Linked DNA regions of Daphnia pulex. The protein of the gene in region 2 interacts with the protein of the main gene of each other region in a pairwise test. Links are inferred from orthologs where the notes say so. Each region holds a gene or a part of one and is shown on either strand. Other genes may lie near its edges.

Region 1 (3,803 bases), on a different chromosome or scaffold from region 2:
AACTCCCCATTTCTTTTCATCTTTTTTCATTATTTTCTCTCCATTTTTCAATAGGATAATTAACGAACCATTCCAACAGCTGGATGGCTTGCGGGGATCAACCGGAAATAAAAAAGGAAAAAAACAATTGAATGGCTTCTCTTCTTCTTCTTAGACTTTCAGCGTCATAATCATATCCAATGGAAACGTAAAATTAATTAAAAATCATAATAATAATTTTCCCATTTTTTTTTTCTTTTGTGTCCCTAAACCCAAAACTCTTTAATTTGTTTTCTCGACGTCTTTATTTTCGTCTTTAATCAGTTTTTGAGTGTTTTTGTGATCGTTGCTCTCATCAGATAATTGAGCTTTCTTCGTGCGTCGATTACGTCATAGCTTGTTTTCCTCCCCCCCATCTCGTCTGTATCCGTGCCAATGTCTTTTTCTCAATATTTTGCCTCTATTTCTTCAAAACTTTCGAAACAACAAAAAAAGGGCGCAAAAATTAAAAATAATAAAACGAAAAAAAAAATTACATCATTGGAAAAACAATTTGATAAACTTTTATTTCAGATTTTTTCTTTTAGTTTAATTTTTTTTTTGTTTAAGTTTTTAGATGCGATTACCGACGCGGTCGCGAGGGATCAGCCTCAATTCCGAGCCGTGTTTGAGGAAGACATTACCTTTAAATGGGTGGACCAGGGATCAAATGTTATTTCCAAAAGGCCATAAAATAAAAATAAAAAAGGAGAGAAAAAGGTTAAAAGGCAATCGGCGTAAATTGTTATGTTTTTCACACACGAAACTGACCGGCAGTTTGTTGTGGATTGATGCCAATTCCGTCGTCGGTGATGATGGCCGACGTGGCCGGATCGACTTTGAATTCTTCGGCCGAGAATTTGAGCACGGCCGTGAAAGGCGTGGCTTCCGGAACGCTCAGCCTAAAGAAATAAAATAAAATAATTCATCCGGTTAATAGACCAAACAAAAAAAAATTTTAAATTTTAATAGCTGATGTATTCAAACTATTATTTTGACTTTAATGACCATTAGTTACAAAAAGGGAGTAGAAAAAAGTTTCGGTTGTACAAAGGAGCGAACGACGGAATGGCTCGGAGGTCGTTCGGTGAATATTCGTTATTTTTAATTGGGGGTCTTGATCGATAATCGCTGCTCCACTTCCATCCAGATGGAGCAGAGGCCGGCCAACTGTTTCTGACGATCGAGGAACTGGCGAGCTTCCGAGGTCACGTGATCCTCATTAAACCCAATGCAAAGAGGAGGAGGAGTGCAGAGGCTTTGCATGTGACGGACCAATTGATCGAGCGAGAACCACAGACCCCGAAAGCGGCTGTCGCTGGAAGATTGGCCTACTCCGCCATGGTCGTCATCATCTCCGGGCCAACTCCAAACGTGGTCCTGGCTGTAATAGACGGGAATCAAATGGCTGGCCAGCAGGCCCAGTATGTCCAGCCAAGAGTGGAGGAAATCGGGGCTCATTTCGCACACCTTGCGGCTCAGCACTACCGGGACGGCCAACAGGGCGCTGATCGTAGCAGACGGGCGGCCACCACCTAGACCACCCGGGGCGCAATTTTCCAGCCAATTGCGGGCACGAGTTTCAATGGCTTGAATCATCAGCTGGCCCAGTCTGACCTCGGGGAGCGTCCGACCTTCGCAAGTCAAACTGAAGACTGTCAGCAGCAATTCCGTCGTCTGCACGGATTTCAGTAACGGATCCAATTTGGCTTCCAGGATTACAGGATTGAGATCTCGCAGCAAGTCCTCCTTCATGATCAGGGCCTTCATCACAGAAACGGTCTGGCTGTCCTTCCCCGATTGGATCAAGCTGATGGCACTCTCATACAGGGACTTCCTCTCTACAGCACTCGAGCAGATGGCCTGGAACTTCTCTGGAGGGAAGACATTGCTCATGGCCTTCATGACCCAGAGCATTGACTCTTCCGTGATGTCTGGGTTGCGAAGGAACTCTTCCAGCAGCAGCAGAGGGGCTATCCTCAGGTTGGCACGTTGGAAGACAGAGTGCTTCCCCGTTGTTTCACCGATCCTGACCAGCTCCTCCTCCAGCTCTTGGATGTGACCTGATTTGGCCAGGGAATCGTGCATGTCCTGGCAGTACTTGGCCCAGTTGAATGCCTTCTCTGTGTTTTCCAAAGTCCATGACACACTGACGGCCGCTTGTGGCAGAATGTCCACAAGGAAAACCCGACAACGATCGACCATTTCGCCGACGGACGGCATATTGTTTCAAAACGAGAGCTAAACCAAAAGTTTTCGGTGGCAACTTACACTTTGAAAGGGAGCTTCGGATCGGACGTCAACGTGATCTTGAAAGTGACTTTACCGCTGCCGCTGCATAATAGAAAATGTTAATAAAAATTTGAAAAATAAAATTAGAATTGCCATTTTGATTACCTCATTTTGAGTATATATATTTATAAACAGAATAAAATGAGAAAATGTTCTTCGACACCAGTCGTCAACTTGACAGCTGTGAGCTGTTGGCGAGAAACAGGTTGTCAAACGACATTGCCAAATTTCTATAATTCCAATTTTCCCCCAAATCTCTTTCAATTATTTCTAGAAAATCCCTTTCAAATATATCCAGTTAAATCTGAATGATTTCAACACGCATAAAAAAACTATTGTTTCAATAGATTACTTTTATTTACTTTTGGCCTGGGGGTAGAAAGAAGACCAATTCGGTTACAAAATAAAACTGGGCATATAAAAGACAAATAATCAACTTTTTCGGTGCAAAAGATTCTAAATCTCGACTATATTTTTCCTCCAGAGAGAGAGAGTTGAGCCTTCCATAAATCTCGGAAAAACCCAGAAGAAAAAAGGTAAATAGTGCGAGAGCATCGCGGTATTAGATGTATAAGAAAAAAGGGTCGTTGTATTAAACTTTTGTGCCGCATATAGCACAGCTAGCTGTGAATATATAAAAGTGTGTGCTGTGATGTGTGTACAAAAGGAGCCCCGGCATGTCGTTGTAGATGTTGGCTCCTGTGTGCATGTGTGTGTGCTCTTAAACCAAGGATTTACGCGTCCGAGAGTGGCCCGTCTAAGTGCTGATGCATACATATAGAAAAGGCCTACAGCGGCAGCAGCAGCATTTGGGGAAAAAAATAAAAAAACTTTTTTCTTTTTATAATTCCAACATGGAAAATATAAGAGGACATGCAAATCGGAACCCAAACAAAAAATAAAATATATTTAAATTCCATTTTTTTGTTTTTTATATTTTATTCCTTAGATATTTTCCATCTTTCATGTCGACTTAATCCGCTCAAATGCAGTTTGTTACGTATTATATTTTCGGCTCTTTGTACATAGACATACATCTGTCGAGTGTTACGTATTACGGACTTCCGCTGCTGCTGGCCTTTCTTTGTTTTTTGTTTCTTTCAATGGATAAAATCTAAAAAGCTAAAACGAATATGTATAGCCTATAACAAAAAGGATGTGTGCTGGGCCACCCTCCCAGCACCCGATTTCCTATAGTCGAGAAAAGACACTTTGCCACTTTGGATCAAGTCGAAAAAGAGACAAGAATAAGAATACATAAAAAAGGCGAGGGATGCTGTACACATAAGCTGAACAACGATGTTGTTTAGGTTATTCATGTCGAGAAAAATATAGGCTAGATACATCCACCAGCACAGCATCAACACTCTGCATGTAAATATACAAAAGAGACGTTATAAATGTGTGTATGAAAGTTGCGCTATATTATATAGGCCCATGCAGCACGACATTCGATTCTTTCCGGTGCTCGATATTATATACACAATGTATAA
Region 2 (3,015 bases):
GAGAGAGACGGACGGGCGTACGACGTTCATCCACCTGACTCGACCAACAATCAACGGGTGGAAGTTGTTCAGTCGCTCTCTCCTCGTCCTAAATCACTTGGAAGTAAGTGAGATGACATCGCAATTGCTACGGAATAATATAATAACCAAATATTATCATTTTTCACTTTCTCTTATTCCATTCGTCGTCGGCAGCCGGGACGTGGAAAGCCATCAAAATCTGGAACGATCCGGTGGAAGCAACATCATCATCTACGGCTAAAAGAGCATCTTCACCTGAACGAGTTGTCGCTTCTTCTTCTTCCGCAAGTCGGCCCGGAGACTCGTCCATCTTGATTACGTTTCTCTTTTTACCCGCCTTTATGTTGTTCGTAACGCGACTGATTGAAGAGCTCAGCATTTCACCCAAATAACTCAATTTAGTTTTTTTTTAAAAGCTTATTTTATTTCTTAACTATTCGCATCTACCTTAAAAAGTGATACCTAAAATTAACGCATGATTTACACGCATACATTATATTTTTTTCCGGATACCATAACAATAATGTCATAATATTGTACATATATTATACGTCGCTAGCTGCTGCTGTTGAATTGAGGGAGACATATATTGTAAAATGATTGCTTGTCAAATTCACTCGTGTGTGTCCATCTGACGTATCCTTCTTTCTGGAGTTTGACAGCAGATGTTTGATGTTGTCCTCGTTGGTGGTAATAATGAGGGTCCTATATAGACACACATCCGAAAAAAGAAAAAACAGATCTAGTACAATACAAACATTTCAGCTATGTACACACAAGACATTTTTAGAAATTTATTTCTCTCACCAGAACCAGCAGCCAGTGGTCATTGTCGACGCAACAAGTACCGAGGACTCCTTTAGAAGAAGCATCGTGATCACCGCCCATCATAATTGGTCGGGCGGATGATTTGGCAAAGTGTTCTTCCAACTTTGGAAAAATGTCTGTCATTGCATTTTCACCAGAAGGACAATGGAGAATTTTGCAGGGAACATCAAAAAGCTTGTCAATTACTAAACACACCTGTGAAATAGAAAATATGGTCAGGGAATTCAAATTAGATTTCAAATCTGAAACATTATTATATATTAATGTGGAATTGTGCCAACATACTTCAAAACTTCCAATCCATTCTCTTGATCCTACAAAAGATTTCTTCTTATCTTCAATGGCAACTAGTGTTTCTTGAATTTCCTTGAGACTTGGAACTTGTCCAGCTTTTTTACCTGGCTGCTGCTGGAGTGAAAGGTAGGAGGCAATGGTCTGGAGAGTTCTGTATCCACAACCCCATCCCTGCGTATGTAACATCATGTAATGAGGTCAAAGAAAAATTCAAGAGTTTACTCCCACACTGCATAATATGATGATGCCTCACCACATCATCAAAACCATCGCATTTGTAATGATAATACTGATAATCGTTCGTGATGATGTGGGTCGTCCTTTGGGGATTCGAGGTTGGATCGCTCAATCCTAAATGTACGTTCGACAGCAAATTCATTTCTGAGAAAACTCGATTTGATAAGCTTGCCAAAACGTGAGGAAATTACGTATTCACTTTACGTTCGATTCAAACAGTTGGGGTTGTGTGTGTGAAACGAAGGAAAACAACTCAAACGAATTCGTCTGCTATAAACTACACCGTCGATAGTTTCTAGTTCAAAAATCCGATACGTTTGGTTAATGAACCCATGAACCTATAACTTTATACACGAAAGAGAAAGTCCGTGCAGCACACAAAAAATAACTTCCAAATAGAAACTGAAAACTCAACAATATGCGCTCATCTGATATACATAAGTGCACACAGCATACGCATACAAATCCGCTGTTAAATAAAAATAATGACGCAGCAAATATATTCAAAGAACTTGATTTTCTTTGGAAGTGTTGAACTCGAAATAGTTTGGTAAGTTTCTAATTCGCTAGAGTGAACAAAAATAAACCTGTTGTACACAATAAATTAGATAAAAACGATATAAAATAACTCTCGAATTGAGAATGGTAACAAATGTACTTTATTTGGCTACACATGGCAAATCTTAGTTGACATATTTCTCAGTGATAACATTTGGTGGCTTCTCAGAACAGAAGTAGTTTAGTAAGCTCCTAATTTTAGTTACAGCATCACTTGGGTCTACTGTGCAAATTCATGTGTCTCTGCAGAACATTCCGGTGATGAAAGGGTGCCCGACAGATTGGACAGATAAACTGAGGTTCCACGCCACATTCGTATTTCACATGCCGCAATAAAGTCTGTTTCCATTTGTACGTTCGGCCGCATCTAGGACACGAATGACGACCAGGTCCAGGATCGGGATCGTGATGATGAAGATGGTGATTATCGACTGACCCGTTGTGGACCGACCCCCAGGCCATGTGTTCGACCAGTAAATCTAGAAAATAGCAGAACAGGTTAGAAACAAAGTAAGTTGTAACCGCAAATACTAATTGGTGTCAACCCATTTCAAATTTTGAGCCCGCCTCCCACCCCCTGGTTGGTGGGAAATATAGAAGGGAAAACGACGACAATGATCTAGCGTTCCGGAAATGTGTTCGACCAGGTAATGCTTAAGCCGAGAACGTTTCCCACAGAGTGGGCATTTAAATTTTGCCGTAACACCACATTGAATTGGTCGGCTAATTCCAGTTCCCATATGGGTGTGACACATAATGACTGTCATAATTTTGCGCTACCTTTTCTGTCCTCTTTCTAAAGAAAATAAGTTTACTAATTTGTTTCGGAATTTACCTTGACCAGATGAATGAAGTTCTTCTGCAGACAGCCGAGATGGTCCAGGATGGTGCAGGTGATTGTTATGATGGTTATTGACATTGTTGACTCCGCAATGCTGAAATAAATCTAGTTCGTCGTCCTCCAGCTCTTGGCCAGAATTAATACTTGAATTTTGTGTCAATGATTCTGTTTCGGGTTGCATGGTGTTCATTGCTGATTCAAATCTAGTTTCTTGGTTCATCGGTAATTCACATTTA

Evidence for each region. The genes of interacting proteins can lie anywhere in the genome.
Region 1: the proteins of ufm1-specific protease 1-like (region 2) and ubiquitin-fold modifier 1 interact in binary tests that used the Drosophila melanogaster proteins (3 or more experiments, as listed by UniProt). The link is inferred for Daphnia pulex from reciprocal best matches to the Drosophila melanogaster genes Ufsp1 and Ufm1.

What each region holds. Positions count from the first base shown.
Region 1 is NC_060024.1:5,730,270-5,734,072, reverse strand, and holds ubiquitin-fold modifier 1, read right to left. Parts: upstream 2,529-3,803; 5' UTR 2,421-2,528; coding exon 2,416-2,420; intron 2,353-2,415; coding exon 2,290-2,352; intron 921-2,289; coding exon 790-920; intron 663-789; coding exon 592-662; 3' UTR 527-591; downstream 1-526. Other genes in the region: coronin-7-like, read left to right, coding at 55-63. UniProt on the Drosophila melanogaster protein: Ubiquitin-like modifier which can be covalently attached via an isopeptide bond to substrate proteins as a monomer or a lysine-linked polymer.
Region 2 is NC_060025.1:7,120,348-7,123,362, forward strand, and holds ufm1-specific protease 1-like, read right to left. Parts: upstream 1,649-3,015; 5' UTR 1,523-1,648; coding exon 1,397-1,522; intron 1,315-1,396; coding exon 1,135-1,314; intron 1,045-1,134; coding exon 829-1,044; intron 794-828; exon of another isoform or gene 727-793; coding exon 577-726; 3' UTR 501-576; downstream 1-500. Other genes in the region: uncharacterized protein LOC124203074, read left to right, coding at 1-103, 196-413; longitudinals lacking protein, isoforms F/I/K/T-like, read right to left, coding at 2,149-2,417, 2,774-3,015. UniProt on the Drosophila melanogaster protein: Thiol protease which recognizes and hydrolyzes the peptide bond at the C-terminal Gly of UFM1, a ubiquitin-like modifier protein bound to a number of target proteins.